4 linked regions of the Pelodiscus sinensis genome follow. The protein of the gene in region 4 purifies or fractionates together with the protein of the main gene of each other region. This does not show direct contact. Links are inferred from orthologs where the notes say so. Each region holds a gene or a part of one and is shown on either strand. Other genes may lie near its edges. The genes, in order: MRGBP, RPAP2, ACTL6A and RUVBL2.

What was found.
Region 1: the proteins of RUVBL2 (region 4) and MRGBP purify together in Homo sapiens (co-immunoprecipitation; 5 studies listed by BioGRID and IntAct, counting the BioPlex papers as one, with this or other methods). This does not show direct contact. The link is inferred for Pelodiscus sinensis from reciprocal best matches to the Homo sapiens genes RUVBL2 and MRGBP.
Region 2: the proteins of RUVBL2 (region 4) and RPAP2 purify together in Homo sapiens (affinity purification with mass spectrometry; 3 studies listed by BioGRID and IntAct, with this or other methods). This does not show direct contact. The link is inferred for Pelodiscus sinensis from reciprocal best matches to the Homo sapiens genes RUVBL2 and RPAP2.
Region 3: the proteins of RUVBL2 (region 4) and ACTL6A purify together in Homo sapiens (affinity purification with mass spectrometry; 11 studies listed by BioGRID and IntAct, with this or other methods). This does not show direct contact. The link is inferred for Pelodiscus sinensis from reciprocal best matches to the Homo sapiens genes RUVBL2 and ACTL6A.

The regions. Positions count from the first base shown.
Region 1 is NC_134728.1:7,675,581-7,682,943, reverse strand, and holds the start of MRGBP (MRG/MORF4L-binding protein), read left to right. Parts: upstream 1-4,351; 5' UTR 4,352-4,366; coding exon 4,367-4,541; intron 4,542-5,708; coding exon 5,709-5,830; intron 5,831-6,817; coding exon 6,818-6,899; intron 6,900-7,363.
Region 2 is NC_134719.1:34,345,737-34,353,001, forward strand, and holds the start of RPAP2 (putative RNA polymerase II subunit B1 CTD phosphatase RPAP2), read left to right. Parts: upstream 1-4,261; 5' UTR 4,262-4,345; coding exon 4,346-4,403; intron 4,404-4,430; exon of another isoform or gene 4,431-4,624; coding exon of another isoform or gene 4,625-4,628; intron 4,629-7,265. Other genes in the region: GLMN (glomulin), read right to left, coding at 959-1,024.
Region 3 is NC_134720.1:44,787,380-44,794,211, forward strand, and holds the start of ACTL6A (actin-like protein 6A), read left to right. Parts: upstream 1-3,817; 5' UTR 3,818-3,951; coding exon 3,952-3,976; intron 3,977-4,299; exon of another isoform or gene 4,300-4,395; intron 4,396-5,821; coding exon 5,822-5,898; intron 5,899-6,077; coding exon 6,078-6,252; intron 6,253-6,687; coding exon 6,688-6,788; intron 6,789-6,832.
Region 4 is NW_027465870.1:27,113-35,109, forward strand, and holds the start of RUVBL2 (ruvB-like 2), read left to right. Parts: upstream 1-4,983; 5' UTR 4,984-5,080; coding exon 5,081-5,092; intron 5,093-5,187; coding exon 5,188-5,236; intron 5,237-5,629; coding exon 5,630-5,685; intron 5,686-5,887; coding exon 5,888-6,029; intron 6,030-6,333; coding exon 6,334-6,463; intron 6,464-6,739; coding exon 6,740-6,806; intron 6,807-7,523; coding exon 7,524-7,630; intron 7,631-7,774; coding exon 7,775-7,868; intron 7,869-7,967; coding exon 7,968-7,997. UniProt on the Homo sapiens protein: Possesses single-stranded DNA-stimulated ATPase and ATP-dependent DNA helicase (5' to 3') activity; hexamerization is thought to be critical for ATP hydrolysis and adjacent subunits in the ring-like structure contribute to the ATPase activity.

The sequences.
Region 1 (7,363 bases), on a different chromosome or scaffold from region 4:
ATGAGAACGTGGGTTCAGGGGTTCAAATCCAAAACCCAGTATTCAAAAGAGTTTAGATTTGAGATTCTGGTTTTGACCCATCTCTAAACATTTTATTTAACCATTTAACCTCTTTTAGGTATGTATAGAACATCAGTCGCCACTGTAAGAAGGGTTAGTTGGGTTGGATAAGTCTTGACAAGAAGACAGCGAACATGTAAAGAAACTGAACCTTTCTAATATGGAATACTTTCAATGAGAAACTCGTAAGTTTTTTCCTTCCTAGTTTTTGTTACTAGGGTAATTTACTAGGGCCTCTGTGCTTGTGAATTTCTGTTCCTGCTGTTTACTATTCATGTGAAATAGTAATCCTGTGTTTGTGACCAAAGTTATTTGCTGTGAACATTATTTTAATGCCACAGAGAGGATTAAGATTTTAAGAGAGAAATAAGCAGCAGGAATACATGATCACTAAGCAACAGAGAGACTGTTTCATGCATGTATGCTTAATAATAAAAAGGAAAAAAGGCAACACAGAAGGGATAATATATTATCACATTTTTTTCTGAATGGAATGTTTTGGGTAACAACTGTCTCAGGAGGCAACAGTGACCTCCCTTTTCAAAGTTCTCAGGAGCTTAGCAGTTCCTTCATTTTAAGCAGAGTGGTCTAGTTAGGACAGTATTGGCTTGAGGCTCTAGAGAACTGGACTCTATTCCCACCTTTGCCACTGACCTGCATTGCGATCTTGAACAAGTCACTTCCCTTTTCTGTTTCACCTTCCATCCTTCATCTGTCTTGCCTAGCTAGAATGTATGCTCTTTAGTGATGGGACTGTCTCTTACTAAGTATGTGCATAGCACCTAGCACCAATACCTTCAACTGGGACCTCTCTGTTCTATAGCAATACAAATAACATAAATATCTTGCCCCTTTCCAAAACATCTGATAGATATAATAGGGATGAACTCTTCAGGGTTCTTTAGAAATGTAGGCTTCTATAGAAACTACAGGCAGTCCCCGAGTTACGCGGATCCGACTTATGTCGGATCCGCAGTTATGAACAGGGTTTGCTCCTGGTCTGCTGGAGACCAGCAGACCAGGGAGACGGGGAGCAAAGCCTCGGAGGACGCCGGCAGCGGGACAACCGCGGCGCGTCTGGGCTGTCCGCTGCCCGTGTGCGCCGTGGCTTTGCTCCCCGTCTCCCTGGTCTGCTGGAGACCAGCAGACCAGGGAGATGGGGAGCAAAGCCTCTGAGGACGCCGGCAGCGGGACAGCCGCGGCGCGTCTGGGCTGTCCCGCTGCCCCTGTGCTCCGCGGCTTTGCTCCGGACGCCTATGGTACAGCAGCTGGGGCGCTGCTGGTTGGTCCCGTAGCTCCGCTCTGGGCACTACTGGACCAACCCGGCAGCACCCCAGCTGCTCTGCCCCAGGTGTCCCCAAGTCAGCCGCTGCTGAAACTGACCAGCGCTGACTACAGGAAGTCCAAGGCAGAGTTGCTCTGCTCCGGGCTTCCTGGAATCAGCCACTGATCAGTTTCAGCAGCAGCTGACTTGGGGACGCCTGGGGTTCTTAAGTTGAATCTGTATGTAAGAACTGGCGTCCAGATTCATTCTGTTGAAACTGATCAGCGGCTGATTCCAGGAAGCCCGGGGCAGAGCAACTCTGCCTCGGGCTTCCAGTAGTCAGCCACTGGTCAGTTTCAGCAGTGGCTGAATCTGGATGCCAGTTCCGACTTACATACAGATTCAACTTAAGAACAAACCTACAGTCCCTATCTTGTACATAACCCGGGGACTGCCTGTACTTGAAAAAATTGCAGAATTTAATAGGTTCTCATTCTCTATCGATAGATGTCCTTGTACCAACCTATTGAAGACAGAGAATTTTGTACAATAAAATCTTTAGGATGGTTCAGAAAAGCTATAGGAAACTTATTTTGTATTAAATCCATTAGCACGCTACGTGGGCTTAGAGGTAAACTATTAATTATCCCCAGCTTACAGATTTGCAAAGAGACAGACTGAGGCCTGCTCTGCACTTAAAATTAGATGGACCTTGCTACATTGCTCATGGCATGGCTGTGAATTTTTTTTTCCTGTGCACCTAGTATTCAGTATTTTCTCTTTTCCTCAGATGGATGGCTGGTGGCATCTGGGAGGGCGGGGGAAGGGAAGAGCACAGTAATTTAAAGGCGCAGAGGCCTTTTTTTTTTTCCGCAAAAAGATGGCTGGTGGCATCTGCTAGGGGAGAGGAACACGGTAATTTAAAAGCGCAGTGACCTTTTTTTTTTTTTTTTTGCTCAACCAATTCTTCCCTGCCTGTTCAGGATTTTTTGTGTAGGTATCTGGCAATCCTAGCAGCCACCAGGGGATGCCAAGGCTGAGGGGTGGCCACTGGGAACTAGTTGACTAGTCCCTCAACTTGTTGCTTCCTTCCCCCCCCCCACATCCCATCAGAGGCAGCAAAGGAGGGGGAGCGGGAGCTGGTGCTGGGATGAGTCAGCTTAAAAGCCAATTCCCCACAGCATCGTCTCTGCAGGGGGCAAGGGAGGCAGCGGGTTTGCCGGGACTGGGCACGAGCCAGGAATGAGCTTATTCCTGGCTTGCACCCAGTCCCAGATGCTGCGCCTCTGCTTTTTAAATGTATTAAGAGCCTGCCAGTTCTTTATACATTTAAAAATCAGAAGTGAAGCGGGAAGACCTGGAGCGAGCTGAGACAGCTGATTCCCTGCTCACACTTGGTCTCCCCACTGTGCTCCAGCCTTTTTACATTTAAGGTTGGTGCACAGTGGGGAGGGACCTAACACGAGCTGGGAATCAGCTGACTTGGGTCACACTGGGTCCCCCAGCTCTGCTTCAGCCTTTTAAATGTATAAAGAAGAGCCAATAGGCTCTTAATACATTTAAATGGCAGAGCCACAGTGCAGTTAGTTCCCGAAGCCAGGAGCTATCCCCACTGCAGCTCCCCAGCTTATTGACTAATCGACTAGTTGATTACATGAAATTTAACATCCCTATTGGGAACCCACAATAGGGATCAGGGTAGCTGCCAGAGTGTACCGGGGCTAAGGGGCAGATGTACAGGTGCTGGGCACCTACTGCAGGGATCAGGGTGGCTGCCAGGGGGCGTCAGGGCTGAGGGGTAGGGAGCAGCCACTGGACCCCACTACAGCAGTGGTTCTCAACTCGTTTCAGTCCACGGACCACCAGGCCAATCAAAAAATTTTCCTCCTTTTTGAGACATGATAAAAAAGAGCAGACAACGAACAGTTTGGTTTGAAATTTATTTCTTACTAACAGATTTTTGGTGCCTGCCCACACCTTGTGATTTTCGACAATGTTCCTGTGGCCCACCGAAAAAGGCACCATGGACCACCAGTTGAGAACCACAGCACTACAGGGACAAGGCCAGGGTGGATGTGCAGGCACTAGGCACCTACTGCAGGAATTTTGGGGTGGCCGCCACGAGGTGCTAAGGCGAAGAGGAAGCCGCTTGAGCCCCCACTACAGGACTCGCGGCGGCCGCCAGGGGGTGCCAATGGTGAGGGGCAGCCACTGAGCCCCCGCTGCAGGGCTCGGGGCGGCCGCCAGGACTGAGGGGGCAGGGAGCAGCCGCTTGAGCCCCCACTGCTTGGTTCGGGGCGGCCGCCAGGGGGCGCCAATGGTGGGGGGGGCAGCCCCTGAGCCCCCGCTGCAGTGTTCGGGGCGGCCGCCAGGGGGCGCCAATGGTGGGGGGCAGCCCCTGAGCCCCTGGCTGCAGGGCTCGGGGCAGCCGCCAGGGGGCGCCAATGGTGGGGGGGCAGCCCCTGAGCCCCCGCTGCAGGGCTCGGGGCGACCGCCAGGGGGCGCCAATGGTGGGGGGGCAGCCCCTGAGCCCCTGGCTGCAGGGCTCGGGGCGGCCGCCAGGGGGCGCCAATGATTCGGGGCAGCTCCTGAGCCCCCGCTGCAGGGCTCGGGGCGGCCGCCAAGGGGCGCCAATGGTGGGGGGGCAGCCCCTGAGCCCCTGGCTGCAGGGCTCGGGGCGGCCGCCAGGGGGCGCCAATGATTCGGGGCAGCTCCTGAGCCCCCGCTGCAGGGCTCGGGGCGGCCGCCAGGGGGCGCCAATCGTGGGGGGGCAGCCCCTGAGCCCCCGCTGCAGGGCTCGGGGCGACCGCCAAGGGGCGCCAATGGTGGGGGGGCAGCCCCTGAGCCCCTGGCTGCAGGGCTCGGGGCGGCCGCCAGGGGGCGCCAATGATTCGGGGCAGCTCCTGAGCCCCCGCTGCAGGGCTCGGGGCGGCCGCCAGGGGGCGCCAATGGTGGGGGGGGCAGCCCCTGAGCCCCCGCTGCAGGGCTCGGGGCGGCCGCCAGGGGGCGCGGCGGCGCTGCACAGAGCGGCGGCGCGGGGCGATGGGCGAGGCGGAGGGCGGCTCGGCCGGCGGCGGCGGCGGCGGCGCGGTGGCGGAGAAGCCCCCCGTGCCCGCGGCGGCCCCGGAGCCCGGCGCGCCGGCCGAGGAGGCGGTGGTGTGGAGCCCCGAGGTGGAGGTCTGCCTCTTCCACGCCATGCTGGGCCACAAGCCCGTCGGTGAGAGCAGGCCGCGGCCGAGCCCCGGCCTCGAGTAGCGGCGCCTGCCGGGAGGAGACCCGGGAGTGGGCGGGCCGCCCCGAGTGGCTCCCGCGGGCAGCGTCGGGGTGGGGGAGGTGCCGCTCATACCCCCCCCCCCCCCGAATCCGAGCCCCTCCCCCCCTCCCCGCAGCCAGGACTCCAGCCCCCGGGGGCCCTGCCGCTCCAGGAGCTGGGGCCAGTGGCTGCGGGGCCGGGCGGCTTTTCCTGCCTGTGGTCGCTGCCCCCACCGCCCCCCAGGGCCGGATTCCCGGGGGGGGGGGGGGGGCAGGTTCCATTATGTTTTCTTATTGGCCGGACCTGCCCCCGCGGGTAGGGATTTTTAGTTGCAAAAATAGGGGTCGGGCAGGAATTTTGAATATTGGGGAAATGTAGCGAGGCAGGGGCCCACTGCTGGGCTTTTCTTTCCCTTGCTCTGCCTGGCTAGGAGGGAGTGCGAGGAAGTGTGGGGGGAAAGGGTGTGGGGTCTTCTCCCCTTCTGCTGTTGGCAGGACATCTCTTGGGGCATGTTAGGTGCAAGTGAAACAATCCACAAGCAGGCTTGTTGACTTTTTGTTGCTCCCTCTCCCCTTTCAGAATTACTTGGTTGCAGCTTTCAGGATTCATTGCCTCTGGCTTAGCTGTGTCTGTGCCCTAAAAATGGGAGAAGACCCTGTGGTCCCAGCCAAGATTTTAATTATTAGATCTGCACAGAATCTGGTGCAGTCACTTAACTCAGGGTACGTCTAGACTACAGAGTTTTGTCGACAGATACTGTCGACAAAGCTTCTGTCGACAAAGAGCGTCTACACGACATTCAGTTCTGTCGACAAAGCAAACTGCTTGGTCGACATGGCAGTGTAGACGCAAGGACAGTTTACATTCAATAACGCCTTCTGTCGACAGAACTCTGTCGACAGAAGGCGTTATGCCTCGTAAAATGAGGTTTACCAGCGTGGACAAAACTGCTGAGTTCTGTCGACGTTATGTCGACAGAACTCAGCGGTAGTGTAGACGCAGGTATAGTTTTGTCGACAAAAGTCCACTTTTGTCGACAAAACTCTGTAGTCTAGACACACCCTTACTCAGTGAGGTGATGCACATGCCTCTCAGGAAATGTCGCTGATGGCTCTAACTTCCTTCCTTCAGGTGTGAATCGCCACTTTCACATGATTTGTATCCGAGACAAATTCAGTCAGAATATTGGACGACAGATTTCCTCCAGAGTGATTTGGGACCATTTGAGTACCATGTATGACATGCAAGCACTAGTGAGTATAGAAAACTGGCATTAAGGAATTCTGATTTCCAGTAGATGTCAACAGCTTTGATGTCATATGTGTTGGGCCTAATTCTTACATTGGTGTAAATTAGGTGACTTTTGTGAGGTCAGTGGACTTTCACCTGTGTAAAACTAGTATAGGAGAGAGGAAAATCAAGTCCCGTATTTCTTCCCTCTTATGCACTTGCTTTGATGTAAAATTTCTCTGTAGGCCCTGATCCAGTAAATACTTTGAATGCTTAACTTTATATGTGCAAATAGTCCTACTGACACACACAAAGTTCAAGCATTTTCAAGAAGTGGACAGTCACCCTCATATTCTGTATCTTGTCCTCTGGTAACCCTTATGGGACTTCTGATGACAGACTGAGATATCCTATTACGAATTATTTGGCCTTTTCCTGTACAGGTTGAACCTCTGTTAATCGGGACTCTCTGGACCATGGATGTTCCAGGACCAGAGAGTCCCGGTGGAAGGCTGGTGGCTGGGATCCCCACAGCTGGGCTGCTTGGTACAACCCAGCGGGACTGCCTGGTGTGTCCAGGAGCCCGGCGCGCTGCAGTGTGGCTGCAAGAAGCTTCCAGGAGCCTGGCACACTTCAGTGGGACTCCCCGGCACATCCAGGAATCTGGTGTGCTGCAGTGGGGCTTCCCGGGCATGTCCTGGAGTCTGGTGTGCAGGGAGCTGGGCTGCCTGGCTTAGCAGGGAATAGGGAGGGGGAGGGCTAGCAGTGCAACAAGGCTGGTGGGAAAGGAGGGCAGCTGGTCCAGGGCTGGGGGAGGAGGGGCCTGATAACGGGGGACAAATATGACATCCCCTAGTCTGGCAAAATCCCTCATCCGGGACCAGTCAGGTCCCAAGGGTGCCGGAACGGAGGTCCAACCTGTATATGAAATTACTTGGCATTTGTTTAGGAAATCTGAGCTGATAGTTATAATAAAATCACACTAAAGACATTTTACTTTTTTTCTTAAGCATGAATCTGAGATTCTGCCCTTCCCTAATTCAGAGAAAAATTTCATCCTGCCTGAGGAAATTATCCAAGAAGTGAAAGAAGGTGAGATCTGATGCTAGCTTTTATGTTGCAATGCTCTGATCAAGTTCTAGGCATGATTAGGCAACTTGAACTCCAGAAGAAGGGAAGAAGTAATGATGTACTAGGCTGACGCTGGTGTGTCACATCATTGGATTGTGTAATAATCAGGGAGAGGTAAAATAGTAAAAAGTTTAATGTAGATGGGATTTTTGATAACACATTCTATCAAAATCTCCCTTTGGCAGAGTATGCGCGTCTTCCACTTACTGAGGTGGGGAGGGTGGGGAAGGGTGCTATGTGCAGCAGGGAGGTCAAAATCCGGTCCTTGGGAATTATATGCAAGTAGTTAAAGGTTTATTCTTTTGGGGGTTAGGTGATTTGAATGTTTTAGTAAGACTGTGTTACTGATTAAGTTTCATAAGGCAATTGTTACAAGAGTTTTATTTACACTGAATAGCTGCAGTTCTATTGCAGGTGAAAACTAG
Region 2 (7,265 bases), on a different chromosome or scaffold from region 4:
CAAAAATGGTCATAAGTGCTGGGGGTCGCAACTCAGGCCATGGTAAGGCAGGGCTTCCTGTAAAAATTCTGAACAAAAAATTTTAAATTCTGAAAAATTAATATTTTAATTTATTTTGTAATATATTACCAAAATAATTAAACATGGTGTAATTATGTTGTTATTGTATTTCTGCATTATTTTGATAAATAAAATATGCAGAACTTAGAAGAATTTTTTGAAAATATATTCTGGGTGGTGCAATCGGGGTGCAGACAACTTGATGCAGGGCTCTGGGTGAAGAGAGAATGGGACACTGCAAGGAAGTCCAGGTGAAGGTAGTTAGGGATCAGTGAGAGTCTGGGGGTACAGGGTTTGATAAGGTTGAGAGGGTCAGGGTGTAGCTGGTTGGAGCTCAATGAGGTCCAAGTGTGAGGGGCTGCTCATGCAGGGGATGGAAATCAGCAGGGTGGAAGTTGGGGGGTCTTGGTAGAGAGGTTCTGGGTGCAAGGCAGGGGTTCAATTAGGGGTTCCAGGCGCATGGATGGGAAGACTGATCACTGAACAGGAAGCTGCTCCCCCGTCTATCCAACCCCATGCATCCAGATCTCTCCCCCAAACACACACACTCAAAACCCGCACTGAGCCTTACCACCCCACACCTAGAATTCCCACTCAGACAGGCCCCTTCCCACCAGCAGTGCAGAGCTACCTGCAGCTTAGAGTAGTTTCTGGGGTTGATTTGACACAGACCCAACTGGTCTGGGCAGGGGAAACTCTGTCTTCATCCTCTTTCTTCCCTCCCAGCCCACCCAGCTGAGACAAACATCCCTGGGAAGCCAGGGCATCCCCAGGCACCCCTTTCCCCAGAGATTTACCTCTCCCCAGCTGCTCAAACAGATATGTCTGTGCACACAAATTTAGGCAATGCCAGTTTCTCTAACAGTTAGTATATTTTTACAGAAAGGAAGTTACTTACACATCGTTGTATAACGGCTTGAAGCTCCTCAGTTGCCATTGTATCCTGATTTTGTTCTTCTGACATTGAAAAGCTCTATCATAATTTAGAGTATAGTAATGAGTCACAACTATATTATATTCAATATTATACTGGATTTAAAATGGAGATTAAAAAATTATCACATTTTAGCAAGTCCCAAGTGGTAAAACATCTTACAGAAATTAAGGAGGCTGCATAAAAGAACATGAGACAAAACAGAAGAGAAAAGAGTTAAAAAATGCAGGGTATTTTTTCATTCCATCTCCTGTGCAGGCACTGCTATTGCTTGTTTATAGGAGACAGGAAAGAGCATGAAAACTATATCTAAAGAGGGGAACTGTCCAACTACAGTAAACTTCTGATAATCTGGGAAGCCCGGGGCAGAGCAGCTGGGGTGCTCTTCCCCGGAGTCAGCCGCTGGTCAGTTTCAGCAGCGGCTGACTTGGAGAAGTCTGGGGCAGAGCAGCTGGGGTGCTGCCGGGATGGTCCGGCAGCACCAAGGAGCAGCGCTACGGGACCAACCCAGCACCCCAGCTGCTCTGCCCCGAGCGTCCCCAAGTACTGAAACATCCAAATCTGAATTGAGATAACTAAAAGAATGTGAAAACTAATTTTCTTTTTATTATACTGAAATCCTACTTACATTTTATTTCACTGTTTTCCACACTTGACAGTGAATCCACACTTGACAGTTTCACTTTGCTGTTCTCATTGCATTAGCACAGGGATGGGCAATAATTTTTGCCAAGGGGTCACAATGGCAATGGCACAATGGTTGGGTATTGGTAACCAGAGCTCATAGCTCCAGCCCCTGAAGAAGAGCCACAACTGGGCACTATTTAAATAGGATCCTGCTGTCCGAGCCACCACCTGAAAATTCGGTGGCATGGACAGCAAGATATAAATAGAAAACTGTCAGACACTGTCTGTGGGCCAGATCAAAGTTTTAGCAGGGCAGAGTCTGCCCCAGGTGGCATCTTGCCCATCCCTGCACTAAGATGTACTTTTGAGTTTGAGTTAGCACCACTGCAAGAGCAATGGCGACATTCCCCCAGAATCAGTGTTCCCTCTAAGCTGCGAGGCAGCACAGTTTCACAGGTGAATAGTCAGCCCTGCCCAGTGAATCAGCTCCACATGGAGCCCTGAGCTTTTGACTGGGCGGGGCTGATTAATCACCAGTTAAGATATGAGGCTGCACAGTTTAGAAGAAACACTGCCCAGAACTACTTTAATTTGTTTGAAAACAAATGTACAGTGTTACCTATTTGGGGCCCAAAGTAACTTGGTATCATCAATAAGGCTCAAATCATATACTGAGCTCCGTAGTGTACTGGTTCTGAGCTCATTGCACGTATGTGGCCCACATGATTAAGTCAGTGATATATTTCCCTGACTTCAGTGGGAACTGTACCGGTCCTTAAGTCATTATGAAAGAAAATTATATATTAGCTATAATTGGCAAACACCATTCATTAAGAATGTTTTTTTCCACCCATTTTGATTTCTTCTTATAGGATCTGAACACCAATGAAGAATGCATCAAAGGGAGAATGTATTCTAAATGCATGGAAGCACCTAGCATCCTCCATACACTTTTGTCAAACACTTGCCATTAGCCATACTTGGGTGAAAACAGGCTGTAGGGGTGGGTAGAGCCCTGGGTGGATATAAAATCTGTATCTGCATCTCTATCAGCACAAATAAACCTGTGACTATAAAGCAGACATCCACAGATTTACAAGGCTCTATGTATGCCCTGAGGCTACGTCTACACTACGTTTTTTGTGCAAAAACCAGCAGTGTCCACACCTCAAGCACGTTTTTACACAAGAAAATCTACAGTCAATTGACAGAACAGATGACTTTTTGCGGTGCAGATATACCTCCTAAGAGGAATATCTCCTTTTTGCGCAAAAAGGCATGTGTGGATATTCCGCAGGGGTTTCTTGCACAAAAAGAGCCAATCCGAAAAAGCACAGGTGTTCTGATGGCCATTCTGTGAATGGCCATCAGTGCTTTCTTGCGCAAGAGTGTCCATGCCGTGTAGATGCTCTCTTGCCCAAAAGCTCATTGCAAAAGCAGTGCATTTTGAGGTGTGGACGCGCTCTTGCGCAAGTTTTTGCACGGGAACTCTTCCTCAAAAAACTTCTTGTGCAAAAACCCTGGGCTGTGTCTACACTGCACCCCTTTTCCAGAAAAGGGATGCAGATGAGACAAGTCGGAATTGCAAATGAAGCGGGGGATTTAAATATCCCTCGCTTCGTTTGTATAAACATGGCTGCCGCTTTTTTCCGGCTCTGGGCTTTGCCGGAGAAAAGCACCAGTCTAGATGGGATCTTTCGGAACATAAAGCCTTTTCCGAAAGGTCCCTTATTCCTCTTAAAATCAGGAATAAGGGACCTTTCAGAAAAGGCTTTATTTTCCAAAAGATCCAGTCTAGACTGGCGCTTTTCTCCAGCAAAGCCCGGAGCCGGAAAAAAGCTGCAGCCATGTTTATACAAACTAAGCGGGGCATATTTAAATCCCCCACTTCATTTGCAATTCCGACTTGTCTCATCTGCATCCCTTTTCCGGAAAAGGGGTGCAGTGTAGACACAGCCCTGCAGTATAGACCTAGTCTTTCAAGGGTGTATAAGGGCTGAGGATAGCAAGTGATAGAGAGAACAGAGAGGGCAGGGCTTCAAGGGGGGAGGGTGTCTTGGGGAAGGGATGGGGTAGATCTTGGCTTGTCCTGGCATTTAAAAAGTGATCTTGGGCGTAAAAAGGTTGGAAACCACTGATGTCTGGGATCCTCCCAGTCGAGGGTTAGCACAGTCGATGGGATTAGTACTGATGCGCTGAGTCACGTCGGAGGCTGCTCTACACCCCGGGGCCTACAGAACACACCTCCTGTCTCTCAAAGCAAACCAATAAGCAGGTCGCGGAGAGGCTGTAGCGGCTTCGCACGGAAGGAGGGGAGAAGAAGAGGGAGACCGGGCGCGTGGCTCACAGCAAAGCCCGCAGCCTGAGGCTGTAAATACGGCTGCTGCGAGCTCCACGCCTCCAACAAGGGGGGCTGGTCTCAGCCGGCGCCCGGGACCTTGTCTGAGGAGCCCCGCGTGGGGCGCAGCGGGCCAGCCTCGTTACCCCGCCCCCAAGAGAACGCGCCGGGGGAGGACTATCCCCGTCGCAGCCGCCCCACAAGGGGGCTCAGAGCCTCCCTCCTTGGACGCGGGGGCGAGGACTGCGCGGCGCCCGCCTCCTACCTAGCGTGCGTCCGCACAGGGCCGCTCCGGATCGAGCCCCGCGTGCCCCTCTCAGGCTCCGCCTCCCCCCCCCTCGCGCCGCGGCGGGTGAGAGGTCAGGCGGGGGGCGGGGCGGGCGGCGATGGCGGCGGAACTTCGGCGCGTCGGTGCGAAGGCGAGAGGCAGCCGGAGACGCGCGGGTAGGATCAGTACAATCCCCCTCCCCCCCCCCCCGAACATACCCCCCGTTTCCCGGCCTAGTGGGCTCGTCCTCCCCACCCCAACGCAGGGGACTGACCCAATCGTCCCAGCCGGGGAGGGGGACGGGAGTAGTGCTGGGCAGGTAGCCGTGTTGTGCGCCCCTCCGCCCCCCGTTTGGAGCATTGCTGGGGTACCCGGAGGGGGAAGCAGAGCCGGCACCATGCGTAAGCGGAATGAGCAGCGGGCCCATTCCTAGGCCGGGGTATTCCAGCTTAGGGCAGGGCGCTGGTGTGCAAGACGGGGTTCAGCTGCAAGCTTGGGAGGGGGCTCTGGGCTGGGACAGTGTTGGGGTGCTGGCTCTGAGAGGGGTCAGGGTGTTGTAGGTGCTGGCTCTGGGAGCGGGCTCAGAGCTGGGGCGGATTCAGGGTACAGGAGGCGTATGGGTTCTGGCTCTGGGAGAGGGGGCAGGGCTGGAGCCAGGTGCTTGGGGTACAGGAGATGGTTGGAGGGTGCAGGAGGAGAGATGGGGTGCTGGCCCTGGGAGGGAGCTCAGGGCTGAGGCTTGGAGTGCAGGAGGTGTTTGGGATCTGAGGCACTTGGAAGAGAGGAAAGTGATTAGGAATAGTCATCAAGGGTTCACAAAGGGCAAGTCGTACCTGACCAATCTGATCAGCTTCTATGATGAGGTAACTGGCTCGGTGGACATGGGAAAGTCAGTGGATGTGATATTCCTTGACTTTAGCAAGGCTTTTGATACGGTCGCCCACAATATTCTTGCCAGCAAGTTAAGAGAATGTGGATTGGACAAATGGACAGTAAGATGCATAGAAAGATGGCTAGAAGGCCGGGCCCAGCGGGTAGTGATCAACGGCTAGATGTCAGGATGGCAGTCGGTTTCTAGCGGAGTGGCCCAAAGTTCAGTTCTAGGACCGATTTTGTTCAATATCTTTATTAATGACCTGGATGAAGGGATGGATTGCACCCTCAGCAAGTTTGTGGATGACACTAAGCTAGGGGGAGAGGTAGATACGCTTGAGGGCAGAGATAGGGTCCAGAGTTACTTAGACAAATTGAAGGATTGGGCCACAAGAAATCTGATGAGGTTCAACAAGGACAAGTGCAGAGTCCTGCACTTGGGACGGAAGAATCCCAAGCATAGTTACAAGCTGGGGACCAGCCCGTTAAGTAGTAGTTCTGCAGAAAAGGACCTGGGGGTTACAGTGGATGAGAAGCTAGATATGAGTCAACAGTGTGCCCTTGTAGCCAAGAAGGCTATTGGCATATTAGATTGCATTAAGAGGAACATTGCCAGCAGATCCAGAGATGTCATTATTCCCCTTTATTCGGCTTTGGTGAGGCCACATCTGGAGTATTGTGTCCAGTTCTGGGGCCACCACACTACAAAAAGGATGTGGACGCACTGGAGAGGGTCCAGCGGAGGGCAACCAAAATGATTAGGGGGCTGGAGCATATGACTTAAGAGGAGAGGCTGAGGGAGTTGGATCTGTTTAGTCTGCAGAAGCGAAGAGTGAGGGGGGATTTGATAGCAGCCTTCAACTTCCTGAAGGGAGGTTCCAAAGAGGATGGAGAGAGGCTGTTCTCAGTAGTGACAGATGGCAGAACAAGGAGCAATGGTCTCAAGTTGTGGTGGGAGAAGTCCAGGTTGGATATTAGGAAAAACTATTTCACTAGGAGGGTAGTGAAGCCCTGGAATGGGTTACCTAGGGAAGTAGTGGAGTCTCCATCCCTAGAGGTGTTTAAGTCTCGGCTTGACAAAGCCCTGGCTGGGTTGATTTAGTTGGAATTGGTCCTTCCTAGAGCAGGGGGCTGGACTTGATGACCTTCTGAGGTCTCTTCCAGCTCTATGGTTCTGTGATTCAGGAGATATGGGATGCTGTCTCTGGAAGGAGGGTCAGGTTGGGGCAGAGGATTTGGGATGTGCAGGAAGAGTTTGGGGGTTGGCATGTGGCCTGCCACCAGGCAGCACTTGTCATTGTCCCAAGCAGCAGCACAGTGAGGCTAAGGCAGGCTCCCTGCTTGTCCTGGGTCCACAGCACTCCTGGGAGGGGTCAAAGTGCCCCTGTCGCCCAGAGGTGGGGGCCAATGTTCACACTAATTTTTTCTGTGTGTGAAATAAATGTTATGATGTACCCTGAGGAATGTGAGTTTGTGAACCACCAGTAGAAACATGCTACCATCTGTGGGCACTCTGCTAATCAGTGGAGCAGCATTTGAATCTCCTGGGCAACTGCCCAAGCACTCAGATTACAGGGAACACTTTTGGGGGTGGGTAGCACGTGGCTCTGTGTGCTGTCCCTCTGCTAATGCAATAGTTCCCTTTTTCTGGCCAGTTGAAGCAGTGCATGCAGGCGGCAGGAGTAGCATGCTGAGACTCTTGCCTCCCTATCCCTCCTCACACACAGGACCATGCTTGCCAGTTTTGGGAACAGGCTGGTGACGGGGTAAACAGGAAGCTTGCTGATCGTAATTAATTGGGAGACTCCCCAGGATTCACCAGTTGATTGCAATCGATCGGTTGGTGACCACCACTACACAGATTTCCAGGGAGAGCCCAGCCTTTCTCAATCTGAGGGTTGTGATCCAAAAATGGATGGATGGGTGGGGGGCAAAGTAATTGACTGGGGGATTTTGGTATTGCCACCCTTTACTTCACTGCTGCCTTCAGAGTTGAGTGGCTGGAGAGCTGTGGCTGCTGGTCGGACACCCATCCCCGAAGGCAGTGCCCCACCAGCAGTAGCACAGAATAGGGTACCCCTACTCCTGTGCTGCACCCTTCTGATCTGGGCAGCCAGAAAATGGTGGCTGCTGACCAAGGGCCTAGCTCTGAATGCAACAGTGCA
Region 3 (6,832 bases), on a different chromosome or scaffold from region 4:
AAGTAGTTTATGATAATTAAGTTTCATGCCACTCTGGGTAAGTCTGTACAGGAAAAAACATCAGTGGCTGGCCTAGGTCAACTGACCTTGGCTGTAGGGGTCAAAATCACTATGTAGATGTTGGGGCTCAGATTCCCAGGGATTAGGCTCCAGCTCGAACATTCATGCAACAATTTTTCATCTCATAACCTGAGCCCCACAAGCACAAGACAGCTGACCTGGGCCAGCCACAGCTGTGCTATAGATCTTCTATGTTTGTGCACATGTACCCTCTAATGCAGTAGTGGGCAACCTGCGGCCTGTGATCTACACATGGTCAATCAGCATTATTCACTGGCAGCACACGAGACATTTTGTTGATTTGACCCTTTGCAGGCACAGTCCCTCGAAGCTCCCAATGGCCACAGTTTGTCATTCCTGGCCAATGGTACCTGCAAGAAGCAGTGGCCAGCATGTCCCTGCATCCCGCAGCTCCCATTGGCCAGGAACAGCAAACCATGGCCACACGGGGTTGGGGAGCCTGTGCATGCAGATAGTCAACACTGGTGTAGCCCAAGGTCCAGTGTGCTTCAGGAGCAGCCCTTGGAACTAAAAGCTGTAGACTATAAACTATGACATGTTGGAGAACTTCCTGGTTCCTGCCATGATGTACCCTCTGCCTCCCAGCAGGGCCTCAGCACTGACTGAGCTGGCAACACGTAAGCTGCAAGCAGAGAAGAGGCTGCTGTACTGTAATCCTGTTCTTCGTACTTTACAGAATTAAGCCTGTTCCTGGTGGTTTGTCTGAGTGGGTCTGGTCTGAAGAGCACACACACTGACACGTGATGGAGAATGCACAAAGGAGCCTCAGGCCTAGTCTCCCAGAGTTGTGTAAAAAGTCACACAGCTTCCCCTATGTTGAATAACCTCATACTGGGATAGCGGACAGGAGGGGCTACATCAGCAACATGTCTCGCAGCCCCTAGTGGAGTATTCTGATGTGCCAGGTACAGCCCACAGGCCACATATTGCCCACCACAGCTCTAATGTTTTCCTCAGGGCAAAAGGTCAAGAGACGCATATTAAAACATTTAAAAAGTTATATTTCTACATAAATAAACTATGTTTTATTTATACAGTGCAAGAAATATAAAAAAGCACTTTACAGGGAAATATAAAGAGAATGGACTAAGTCCTGCTCTCAGTTACACTGGTGTAATTTTTAAATAACTCTACAAACAAAGTGAAGTTACTCTGAATTTACCCTAGTATAAATGAGATCTGAACAAGGTCCAAGATCCTTGCCTCAAGGCACTTACAATCTAGAATCAGGCAGAAAATATAATCAAATGGCAGTGTACTTTGAAAAGGTGGGGTTAGCAAAAGAAGAGCTAACAGCATCCTTTGAGGCTCAGTTTCCTCTACAAAATGAAGCTTACAGTTTTCTTGGATCTCTTACTTTCATACTATTGTTTCTAAATGTATGAATGAATTAAATATCACTCAATGAAGGATAGCCAAGGAAGTGATTTTAAAGGAGAGATTTAAATATGAGACATATCACCCTCACATACTTTTCCACCAAAATCAGAACTTCCACCAAAATCAATAAGAACAGTGCACACGTATGTGAAAAGAGTATTCAGCCTTATGTATTTTACATATGATCTGTGGTTAGCCAGTATCTGATCTTTGTATTAGGATGCAAAAATTAGCTATGTGCTCTATGTAACTTTGAAAAATGGCATTAATTATTCTACAAAGGCCCTAATCAACCAGTTTAAGATTTCTCAATGGTCAATATTATGCAAATCATGGGATTGGACACTTGGAATTTTAGGCAGATCTACCTATCTAGTTCTCTGGCTCCTGAACTCTCCAAGTCCCTTTTCCTTTTCATCAATTTCCTGTTTTCCCTCCTCCACCCCATTCCACTTCCCTGCTCACTACTTAGTCCTTCCTAACTTTGTTTTCTAGCTCTCTGTGCTGTGTTCTATGGCTTTACTGGCCAAATGCCAGGGCAGATACTAACATCTCCCACCCCTTCTTTCTCTGCCAGAACAATCCAGTGAGGATGGCAGTTTAGTAACAAGCAGGGGAAAGGAGGGAATCAGATGAGCTCAGCCCAATATCCAGATTTTGAGGCAGGAAGTTTGAGATGCCAAGGGACCATCACTGGGTTGGGAGGATATAGGGGGTGGTGGGAAGGTACAAAATTGACAGGGGCTTATACAGATTTTATTCCATTGGAAAAGGAGAACAGGGAGCAACAGAAGAAAGAAGACTCAGGAAGGGAGGTAAACTGGATTGGGAGGGGTACTTGAGAAAGGGATATTGATGGTAGAGTAGCAAGCACTGAACTCTGTAAAATGTCATGCATGTTTTATTAGAGTGACAAGGTGGGTTTTATTAAGCCAGCTGGAGATGATGAAAGACTTTTTTCAAGTCTACACAGAACTAATTTCCAGGCCTAGGAAAGGTACTCAGAAGTTTGATTCAAGTGAGCTGCTTAGGCAAAGTTTGTAACTTGCTAAAGTTAGACTTTAATCACTAGCACATTATTTTGTTTTGTTTGTATCTGTAACATACTAGTCTCTCTTTTCCTAGTTACTATCACTTACATCTCTTCTTAATCTCTCTTTTTCATAGTTACTATCACTTACATCTCTGTGCTGTTACAGGCATATATCTTCAGCTGCATTAACAGGCTGGTATGCATTCTGTCTCTTTGGAGAAAGCAAATTTAGTAATTTCTGTGAATAGAGAATGGACACTACAGAAAAACAGCTTGGGGGAACTTGAGAACTGGTTTTCAAGGTTACCTGCAAGATAAAGGAAAGGTAAGCAGTGTTACTGGTGACACCTGGTGTGGCAAAGACCTAACTCATGTCCTTTGAACTCCAGTGACGTTCTTTTGCTGAGGCAGAGAGGTAACTCAGCAGCTTACTGTTCAGGGTATCCCAAGAGCATCCCAACACTGCAAAAACACTTTCTTTTTTGCATTTTTCCCCTCGGGCCTTTTGTTACCCTGATGAAGATCAGGTTTGGCCAGTTCTCAACCCCTTACTTAAGGCAATCCCAAAATACCTTTTTCTAGGCTCCCTGCACCATCCTGCCCCAAAATACCCCACCTAACTTCCCACCCTAAAATGCCTCTCCCTAACTAGTGATAGAAATGTAGCCGTGTTAGTCTAGTGTAGCTGAAACAAAAAACAGGACTATGTAGCACTTTAAAGACTAACAAGATTGTTTAATTTGTCCTTTTCATATGTGTTCATTTTTTTAATTGTATCCTTTGGTATATATGGTTGTGACAATTTTCTTCCACTATTTGATCTGAGGAAGTGGGTCTGGCCCATGAAAGCTCATCACCTAATAAACCATCTTGTTAGTCTTTAAAGTGCTGCATAGGCCTGTTTTTTGTCTCCCTAACTACAGTCTCAAAGCATCCCTTGCTGGCCCACAAGCCCCAGCCTCCCCCCAAGTCTCTCCCTAACCCCCAACAGCAGCCAACCCCATAGCACCCTAACCAGCCCCCCAAGTTCCTTCCTAACCCCCAGCCAGCCCCATAACACCCTTCCCCGGCCCCCAAACATCCCTCCCTAGACCCAGCCTCCACACCCTCAGCCCCACCTACCCCCATGTCAATCAATTCCTTGCCCCGTCCCCCAACCCCAACCTCCGCTGACCCTGCACACTGCAACCATACTTGCTTCCTTCACTCTTTTTCTTGACAGGGATAGGTTTCCCGCTGTCTCGGCCCGCCCCCTGCTGGCCACGATTGGCCGCCCGCTCTCGGGGTTGCGGGGGCCGGCCGGCGCGCTCTGTTGGTCTGAGGGGAAAGCAGCAGCAAGTTCGGTTGAGCCGGCGGGGCGAGTGAGCGCGGGCCGGAGACTCGCGCTCGCTATTGTCAGCGAAAGTAGTTAGCGGGGGCTGCCGGGAGCGGGGCGCGAGACAGGCCCGGCGGCAGCCATGAGCGGCGGGGTGTACGGGGGAGGTGAGTGCCCGCCCCCCCCGCCTGTGAACCCCCCCCAGCCCCTGCCTGCTGCCCCCCACGACCGTTCCCCACGGGCCTCTCTGCCCCCCCCCCCCCCAGCGCCTGCCTGCTGCCCCCCAGCACCTCCGAGCCCCTGCTGCCCCTCACGGGCCTCCCCCAGCCCCCGCCTCGCCCAGGGCTGTTCCACACGAGGCTTCCCCTAGCTGCCCCCCCTCCTCCTCCGAGCCCCCACAGGCCTGCTGCATCTCCCACCCCCTCCCCCTACAGGCATGTGCTCTAGTCTGTCCATTATTTGTGCGTGTGCTGATGCCGCTTCCCCCTACCCAGGAGCTTCCCATGCAGCCCCGCGTAATCCGGCCACGTTCCCAAGCCTTGAGCTTCCTTGCAATCGATTTGCTGCCGCTCCCTGCGCTTCTTCCCCTCCCCAGTTATTTGCTGCTCTTCTGGTCCATAAAGTGACAGCGTTGCTAAGATACAGCTGTAATGCTCCACCCATGAACACCACCAGCATCGTTCTTCCCATCAAAGCTAACAACTCCACTCAGCTGCGGTCGGAAACACACAGTGCTTCCCTTCAGTATACCTTGCAAGTTTTCATTAAAGTGGAAGGTCTAACTAGTTTGAAGGTCGTCTTAGTTTCTAGAATAGTGATAGAAATGTAGCCGTGTTAGTCTGGTGTAGCTGAAACAAAATACAGGACTTTGTAGCACTTTAAAGACTAACAAGATGGTTTATTAGATGATGATTAGACCACGAAAGCTCATCATCTAATAAACCATCTTGTTAGTCTTTAAAGTGCTACATAGTCCACAAACATCCCGCTCTCCCTACCTCTAATATCATCAATTCACAGACACTTACCTTCCTTCCTCCCCCCCCCCCCCCGCATCCCCCTCCTGTTCTGCAATGTGATTTGTCCTTTTCATATTTGTTCATTTTTTTAATTGTATCCTTTGGTATATATGGTTGTGACTACTTTCTTCCACTATTTGATCTGAGGAAGTGGGTCTGGCCCATGAAAGCTCATCATCTAATAAACCATCTTGTTAGTCTTTAAAGTGCTACATTGTCCTGCATTTTGCTTCAACTACATAGTCCTGTATTTTCTTAGTTTCTGTCTTTGGTAAATTTCATTGTGGCCTTTTCCGTTTGTTAGATCTGTAAGGCAGATTAATGGTGTAAGGCAACATTTGGTGCTGTTACTTTGGTGGGAAATTCAGGTTAGCACGCCATCGAAAGATATATTTGGAAGCCAAGATCTTGCACCAGAGCATCTCCTGTAAACAGTGCTACCAAAATAATAATAATAATTAGTATTATTAATAATTTTGCTAGGGTCCTGACCCCGTTGAGCCCATATGGAGTCTCTTTACAGATCAGTACTTAAGGGAATGGATGTATTTCTTAAACATCTGTGTTATAGACTGTCACATCTAATTCTAATTATTTTCCTGTTTAATTTCTAATAATCCAGGGAAGTGTAGGGGGAAGTATAACTTTGTGAGTAAATCATAACACATTCTGAAAATCACTTTACCAGTTATGGTTAACTGGTGGACTGGTGCAGTCCCCTGCCTGCTTAACAGGGATTTTGCATCCCTAATTTTGAATGAAAGTACTGTTTTATTGGTTATTTACTTAAAATACAATGGCTTTTTTGGGGTAATTTTTCTGCAATTAATATTTTCAATTGAAAATATTTTGTTCTTTGCCAGCTTTAAATCCTGGTTAAAAGTTGCGATGGTGGTTTGCACTCACGTTTAACAAAAAGTGTGTTGGCTTGTATGTTTTTGCTGATAAGCACAGAGATTTTATTGCCTGCCTATTTACTTCTAATCCTTACAGATGAAGTTGGGGCTCTTGTTTTCGATATTGGTTCCTATACAGTGAGAGCTGGCTATGCTGGTGAGGATTGTCCAAAGGTAAGAGTCATTGTGATTAAATGGTTTTTTTACGTATTCTACGAACCACTGAACAAGTTTTGAATTTGTAGACATTTTTTTTAAATGTATAGCTGAAATGAAAACAGTACTTTGTTATAAGTGAATAAACAAATGCCCACTCTGCAGTTGCCATACCTGGTCCATATTTTACATTGCAGGTTGACTTTCCCACTGCTATTGGTGTGGTACTGGAAAGGGATGATGGCAGCACCTTGATGGAAATAGATGGTGACAAAGGAAAACAAGGAGGTCCTACTTACTATATAGACACCAATGCACTGCGAGTTCCAAGGGAAAACATGGAGGCTATTTCACCCTTAAAAAATGGAATGAGTATGGTGCTCTGTCTTTTTCTTCTTGTTCTTAAAATCTGATCACTAACTTTATATTCAGCTGCAAAGTTTTATCTGTCACGGGCAAAAAAATATATTCAATTTTCATTAATACTCTTGGTCCAAAAATGAAATGTTGTATTTAAAATGGTTTTAATTATGAGGTCTGATCTGAGGAAGAACTATAGAGACTTTCCTCCATGTAATGAGCTGGAATGGGTCCCACCTGATAACGGTGGTGGGGGAAAAAGAAGGGGACGAATGTAATTGGTAAGCAGCATAGAACTTTATGGAGCTGCTGAAGTGTGTGAATTTTTAAGACTGTTGTTCAGGAGATGGTTGATCTATGTGTTTTAAAGTTATGTTTTTAGATGACTCAATTAACTATGTCTCTTTTTGAAAATGGAATAATATTGTCTAAACGTCATTGTTACAGTTGAGGACTGGGACAGTTTCCAGGCAATTTTGGATCACACATACAAGATGCACATTAAATCTGAAGCAAGTTTGCACCCGGTCCTAATGTCAGAAGCACCAGTGAGTAAAAGCATATTTCCTTCTTTGAAATTTTATAATGAATA
Region 4 (7,997 bases):
CTGGGGGAGCAGTGATGACTAGTGGCTACAGCGGGGGGCTGGGAGCCAGGACGCCTGGGTTCTGTGACTGGTCATCAAGCATCGAGGGCAGGGCTGGGCCGGGCTCAGGGGCACTGGGTCAGTCGGGGACTCAGGGTAACCCCCCCCCCCCCCACGCACCTCGCCCAGGAACCAGGCGGTGAGGAAGCCGAAGAGCACGGCGTCGTTGGCCTCCCGGTCGTACCAGGGCACCCCGATGGTGCAGCTGTCCCACAGCTCCGTCTTCCAGCGGTCCAGGCTCCACGCTGTGGCCCCCACGTCCAGCAGCACCACGTAGGGGCCCCCCTCGATGAGCCAGCGCCCGAAGTACACCTGGGGGGGCCGGGGTGAGACGGAGCTCCCAGCCCCCTCCGGGACCCCGACCACAAGACCCCAAACCCGCTTCCCCAGGGGCCCCCGGACATGCACCAAGCCCCTGCCCCGCACACTCCCAGCTGGGACCCCATCTGTCCCCTTGGGGAAGTCCCCCCAAGAACAGCGTTGGGGCCTGGATGCTGTTAGCCCATTCCTGCCCCCTCACGTAGCCCTCCCCCCATCCGCTCCAGCCCCAGCCCCAGCCCCAGCCCCAGCGCCCCCCCCCCCCCCCCCGCCAGGTTAGAGGGAACTTCAGGGCAGATATTTTGAGCACCAGAGAAAAACAACACGTGGGGGGGGGTGACCTTTGCTGGGGAGCAACGTGAGCCTGGCTGCTAAAGATAGCCCCCTCGGGGCACCGGGCCAAGGGGAGGGGGCTTGGCATCCCCATGGTGCCTGCTGGGGAGGGAGGGGGGGAGAAACGAGCTGCCCCCAAAACACCGGGGACTGTTCTAATAGGGGACAGGATTTCTGGGTGCACAGCGGGATCAGGGCTCCGGGAGCGGGGCCTAGTGGTTAGAGCAAGAGGCTGGGAGCCAGGGCACCGGGGTTCACTCCCCGGCTCAGGAGGGCAGGTGGAAGAATCATTCAGATCAAGAAGAGGGGGACCCGGATGCAGAGGTGGGTGGGGGCTCCCCTTGGATCAGGAGGAGCAACAGGGTCACTTTAGGCCCCTCCCCCTCAGGGCAAGGAGGCCCCTCCCCCGGTTGGTGCGCTAAGCGTGCAAGGCCTCCCCTTGCACGGACGGGCTGGCGCCCCGCACTCGTGGGCCCCGTCCCTCCCCTCGCAGGGGCTGGCATCCTGGGACCCCCTCCGTGCCCCCTCCCCCTCTGCAGCTCGCACCTTGCAGCCCTTGGCGTTCATGGAGTCGATGGTGCGCCGCACGGCGGGGTGGGGGGGCTCGATGAGCTCCACCTGGGTGCGCACGTTCTGCTCCAGGTAGGGCCCCATCAGGAAGTAATTCTCCCCCCACTCGTCCGCCGTGATCTTGGCCTTGGTCTGCAGCACCGTGTAGATACCCCCCACTGCGGGGGGGAGGGGTTAGACACAGCCTCTGGCACCCCCATGGACCCTCGCCTCTTTGCCTGGCCCCCCCCCTCGCCGGACCTCCACCCCACTGCCCAGGGGGCGGGGACCCCCTCGATACAGACCCCGCCCCCTCGAGGCACCGGCCTAGGCAGACCACAGCCCCAGTGCATCGTGGGGCCCCCAGCTGCAGGGCCCCTCCCTGACTCCCTTGCCCCACACCCCAGCAGGGCTTTCAGCCTCCCCAGGTCCCAAAACCGGCAACCCCTCTCCCCCCCGCCACTGTCAAACCTTCCCGGTCTGTACCCCTAGCCCGGCTCCCCCTCGCTCCTAGCCTGCCCCTACCCCCCACTGCACAATGCCCCCCCAGCTCAGACCGGCTCCACTCAGCCCCCCAACGTCAGGACTTGGGCCTCTGTGTAGGGTGGGGGCTGAGGATACGGGGACCCCTCGCCCGGGAGGCCCCGTAGAGCAGGCCCAAAAGAGTTTAGGACAGGACACCCCACAGATACCGCCCCCTGGCGCTGCACGGGGGCCAGCAATATACTGCCTTCTGTTGATCCCCTGGTCCGCCCCCCCAGACCAGCACCCCTCGTGCCCCACTGAAGGAGGGGGGCTAGGAAGGGGGCAGTCTGTCAGGACATAGCACCTCCCACTGATCCCTACCCCATCCCTTCAGCCCGGCATCCCCCAACTAGCAGTGATGGCCCTAAGGCCCCGGTGCCGGCAGGGGGGCCGAGCTGGGACGGGCCCATCTCTGCCCCGTGCCCACAGCAGGGGCACTGAGTCAGACCCCCGTTGCCCTGCCCCCTGCTCGTCCCCCCAGGCTTAATGCTCCTGCCTCCACCCCAGAGGGCACGTACCCCATAGGTCACTACGCTCTGCCCCCAGCAGCTCACAACCCGACCTCCCAGGCTCCCAGCCTGACTGCCGCTGGGCCCCACCCCCCCTACTGGAGCTAGGGCAGAACCCAGGAGTCCTGGCTCCCAGCCCCGCCCGCCTCTAACCACTAGCCCTTACTCCCTTCCCAGAGCCAGGGCAGAACCCAGGAGTCCTGGCTCCCAGCCCCTCCCGCCTCTAACCACTTGCCCTTACTCCCTTCCCAGAGCCAGGGCAGAACCCAGGAGTCCTGGCTCCCAGCCCCTCCCGCCTCTAACCACTAGCCCTTACTCCCTTCCCAGAGCCAGGGCAGAACCCAGGAGTCCTGGCTCCCAGCCCCGCCCGCCTCTAACCACTAGCCCTTACTCCCTTCCCAGAGCCAGGGCAGAACCCAGGAGTCCTGGCTCCCAGCCCCGCCCGCCAGAGCCAGGGCTGATGTTGACCCCGGAGAGAATTCAGGCATCTAGCTCACCCTTGTTGGCCACCTCCCAGGCCACCTCGAAGAGGATGGCGTTCTCCAGGTCAATCTCATCCTCCCAGTCCTCCAGCCCCGTCAGGGAGGTGACGGAGAGGCTGCGAGCCAGGGGCATTGCGGCTGAGGCTGGGGGGCAGCGCTGCAGGAGCCAGGTCCGGGTGCTGGGCTGGGGGGACAGACAGGGGGTCACAGCCTTGCTACTCTGCAGCACAGGCTCACAGGAGGGGAGTCCAGGCCTGGGACACCCCCACCTACCAGACCCACAGGAAAGAGGGGGCAGAGCCGTGGCTGGTTGGGGGCTGGGAGACGGCAGTAAGGAGCCCATAAGGGGGCTGGAATAGGGGAGGTAAAAGGGGAAGGGGGCTGGACGGCCCATGGAGGATTGGAGGGAGAATGGGGCTGGGAGGGACATGGGGAGTTGGATGCAGAAGAAGGGACTGGGAGACATGCAATGTAGGGGGCTGGGAGGAACATCCGGGCCTGGGGAAGATATGGGGCAGGACATGGGGTGGGGGGAGGGGCTGGCAGGGACATGGGGGCACGGTGCAGGTAAGGGGACTGGGGAGTGCATGGGGGGCTGGATTCAAGTGAGGGGACTCGAGAGTACATGAGGGGCTGGATGCAGGTAAGGGGGGTGGGGGGACATGGGGGGCTGGATGCAGGGGAGGGAGGGCTGGGGGGATATGGGGGCCGGATGCAGGGGAGGGGGAGGGGGAGTCTGGAGGGAGATGAGGGATTGGATGCAGGGGAGGGCCTAGGGGAATTAGATGCAGGGGAGGGGGGCTGGAGGGAGATGGGGGGCTGGATGCAGGGGAGGAGGGTCGAGGGAGATGAGGGGCTGGGGGGGAGATGGGGGCTGGATGCAGGGGAGGAGGGTTGAGGGAGATGAGGGGCTGGGGGGGAGATGGGGGGCTGGATGCAGGGGGGGCTGGATGAGATGGGGGCTGGATGCAGGGGGGGTTGGAGGGAGATGGGGGGCTGGATGAGATGGGGGCTGGATGCCGGGGGGCTGGAGGGAGATGGGGGGCTGGATGCAGGGGGGCTGGAGGGAGATGGGGGGCTGGATGCAGGGGGGCTGGATGAGATGGGGGCTGGATGCAGGGGGGGTTGGAGGGAGATGGGGTCTGGAGGGAGATGGGGGGCTGGATGCAGGGGGGCTGGATGAGATGGGGGCTGGATGCAGGGGGGGTTGGAGGGAGATGGGGGGCTGGATGAGATGGGGGCTGGATGCAGGGGGGCTGGAGGGAGATGGGGGGCTGGATGCAGGGGGGCTGGAGGGAGATGGGGGGCTGGATGCAGGGGGGCTGGATGAGATGGGGGCTGGATGCAGGGGGGCTGGAGGGAGATGGGGGGCTGGATGCAGGGGGGCTGGATGAGATGGGGGCTGGATGCAGGGGGGGTTGGAGGAAGATGGGGTCTGGAGGGAGATGGGGGGCTGGATGCAGGGGGGGCTGGAGGGAGATGGGGGGCTGGATGCAGGGGGGGCTGGATGAGATGGGGGCTGGATGCAGGAGAGGGGGTCTGGGGGAGATGGGGGGCTGGATGCAGGGGGGGTTGGAGGGAGATGGGGGGCTGGATGAGATGGGGGCTGGATGCAGGAGAGGGGGTCTGGGGGAGATGGGGGCTGGATGCAGGGGGGCTGGATGAGATGGGGGCTGGATGCAGGGGGGCTGGAGGGAGATGGGGGGCTGGATGCAGGGGGGGCTGGATGCAGAGGGGGGGCCTGGGTGGAGAGGGGGCGGGGGGAACATGCGGGGCTCGCGGAGTCCCCCCCCCCAACTCACCTCCCCCCAGCGCCTCCAGCCACTTCGCAGCGCTGCTCTCAGACTGACCCCGCCCCTCCCCCGCCGGGCTCTGCTGCACCGGAGCCCCGCCCACCAGGGGCGTGGCCTGCGCGCCGCCCCGCCCCATGCGCGCCGCCTGATTCTGAGTGGAGCCCGCAGGCGCCCGAGGGCTCTGATTGGCTAACGTGGCCGGTGCCCGGCGGGGGAGGGACACGTGGGGGAGGGGACGGTACGTGCTTCAAGGTCTTAAAGGGGAAGTGTCACCAATTCCTAGGGAGGGGCGCGGGGCGGGAGGAAGTGGCGGGCGGGGCGGGGCGGGGCGGAGTGAGGAAGGGGCCGCCAGGCAGGGCAGGGAGAGGGGCGGGGCCAGAGTCGGGGGGCGGGGCCAGGGAGGGGGCGGGGCTGGAGGACCGCGGGCCATCGAGCGGCGGCGGGAGCGGCTCCCTCCGCTCAGCGCGTGGCGGCGACGGGCCACTTCCGGTTTCCGGTCCGCGCCGGCGGCTCGCTGCGGTCTCCGAGCAACATGGCAACGGCGGTGAGCGCGGCCGCCCCGCCCCCCCGGGCCCCCCCGGGCCCCCCCCGCGCGCTCCCCCCCCCCGCCCTCCCTGACCGGTCTCTGTCTCTCCGCAGAGCACGAAGGTGCCCGAGGTTCGCGACGTGACGCGCATCGAGCGCATCGGTGAGTCCCCCCCGGGCCCGGCTCGGTCTCCATGGCAACGGGGCGCCCCTCGTGCGGGGCGAGGAGCGGGGCAGCAGCGGGGGGCGGGGCGAGGGGCGGGGCAGCAGCGGGGGGCGGGGCGAGGGGCGCGCGGGGCGGGGCAGCAGCGGGGGGCGGGGCGAGGGGCGCGGGGGGCGGGGCAGCAGCGGGGGGCGGGGCGAGGGGTGGGGCAGCAGCGGGGGGCGGGGCGCGGGGGGCGGGGCAGCAGCGGGGGGCGGGGCGAGGGGCGCGCGGGGCGGGGCAGCAGCGGGGGGGCGGGGCGAGGGGCGCGCGGGGCGGGGCAGCAGCGGGGGGGCGGGGCGAGGGGCGCGCGGGGCGGGGCAGCAGCTGACGGTGCCTCCCCTCTGTCCCCAGGCGCCCACTCCCACATCCGCGGGCTGGGCCTGGACGATGCGCTGGAGCCCAGACAGGTACCGGGGGGGGGGGGCTGAGTGGGGGGCGGGCGCCTTGGGGGGGTGGAGCTGGGCAGGTCTGGCAGGAAGGGGGGGTCCCCTATGGGGGGAGGCTGCACGTGACTGGGGTAGAAGGGCGGGTCTGTGGGTGTGGGGCGGGGGGGCGGGGGGGGGGCTGGCCGGACCCCCCCTTGCCAGCACCCACCCTGTCTCTCCCCAGGTCTCGCAGGGCATGGTGGGCCAGCTGGCTGCCCGGCGCGCCGCAGGCGTCATCCTGGAGATGATCAAGGAAGGGAAGATCGCCGGCCGGGCCGTCCTCATCGCTGGCCAACCGGGCACCGGCAAGACGGCCATCGCCATGGGTACCGCGCTCAGGGCACTGGAGTCCCTCCTTGCCGGCTCCCCCCCCATCCAGGAATCCCCATCACACGCACCCACCCCTTCCTTAGAGTCCCTGCCCCATCCGAGGAATGCTCTCACGGGGTGTCTGCCCCGCACCCAGGGAATCCGCCCCCTCTCCCTGCCTGGGAATCCCTCCCACCCTGGCACTCTGCTGTAGATGGCTGGACCCTTCGAGGGAGTTGCCCTGCCCTGAGTGGTGGCTCAGGAGCAGGGATCCTCGGCTTGCCTCTCCCCCCGTGTAACTAGGTCCCCCCTGCCCCCCAGGCATGGCGCAGGCACTGGGGCTGGACACGCCCTTCACGGCCATCGCGGGCAGCGAGATCTTCTCCCTGGAGATGAGCAAGACTGAGGCGCTGACCCAGGCCTTTCGGCGCTCCATCGGCGTGCGCATCAAGTGAGGGGCGGGCCTGGACCCCAGGGTTCTGGCTCAGCACTGGTGGGGGGGGCTGGGGGGTAACAGCAGGGGCTTGGGAGCCTGGGCTGTGGGGTTCTCGTGCTGGCTCTGGGAGGGGGGTGGGTAGAGCAGCAGGGCTGGGAGCCAGGCGGGTGCCATAGTGGGCACAGAGCTGCCTGCCCATGGGGGGCGATTGGGGAAGCTGTTCCTGTGTCCCAGGGAGCCACTGGCAAGATGTGGGGGGAGGACTGAGCTTGGCCCTCTCCTTCGCCACAGGGAGGAGACCGAGATCATTGAGGGGGAGGTGGTGGAGATCCAGATCGACCGCCCAGCCACCGGCACCGTGAGTAGGGCGGGGGCAGGGTGGTGGGGCTGGCTGGCTGGGGACAAGACAACTGGCTTGGCTGGCACTGCCATGCTCCTGCCCCCATCTTGTGCCCCTCAGAACAGGTCCCCTCCCATTCCCTGCCCCCCCCCCGAACACGCCCCTCCCTCTCACCGGTCCCTCACTTGTGATGTCCACGTGCAGAGTGAATGTTACGTGTGCGAGCAGGTGGCGACTGGCCCATCCCCTCCATCATGGCGCACGTCACGTTCATTCTGGGCGTGGACAGTCTGGCCGGGCTGGGGCCAAAGGGTTCGGCGGGTGGGAGCAGGCTCTGGCTGGGGGTGTGGGATCCGTGGTGGGGCTGGGGCTGAGGGGTTTTGGGTACAGGCTCTGCCAGGCCTTTCTCACTGCCGCAGCTCCGGGCCAGGTGCGGGGCGTGTGTCTGCCCACCGTGGCAGCTCTAAGGCCCTGAGCCCCTGCACCGGGGGGTTAGAAGGCTGCCCCGTGGCCACACAGCTTAGGGTGAACTTAGCCCCCATTCCCTGCCTCCCCTCTGCAGGAACTGGCCTCTTCCCCCCCCCCCTCCCCCCAGAATGGGAACCTCCCATTCTCTACTCCAGCCCCCAGCAAGCCTGCCCATGGCCGGTGGGCCAGTGCCCATCCCCCCACTTGCTCTCTGCCAGGGACAGTGGGGGAGGGGGGTCTGACCACACACCCTACCCCCGTACGCAGGGCGCCAAGGTGGGGAAGCTGACGCTGAAGACCACGGAGATGGAAACGATCTACGACCTGGGCAGCAAGATGATCGAGTCGCTGACCAAGGAGAAAGTGCAGGCGGGGTGAGTGGGGGGCTGACGGGTAGGGAGGGGGCCCTGTGGGAGTTGTGGCTCCACTGGAGGCGTCCATACAATGGCCCAGTGTTCTCACCGGCCTGGGCTGTGACCACCCCTCCCCCCCAAAGCTGACCACACCTCTCCCTGCAGGGACGTCATCACCATTGACAAAGCCACCGGCAAGATCAGCAAGCTGGGGCGCTCCTTCACCCGGGCGCGCGACTATGACGCTATGGGCGCCCAGGTACGTGCTGGGCTCTGAGCCCCCCACCCATTGGGAAATGCAGGGGGGGGGGCAGTGGGAGACTGAGGGGGACGGGATCTGAGTTGTCCCTTCCCCCAGACCAAGTTTGTGCAGTGTCCGGATGGGGAG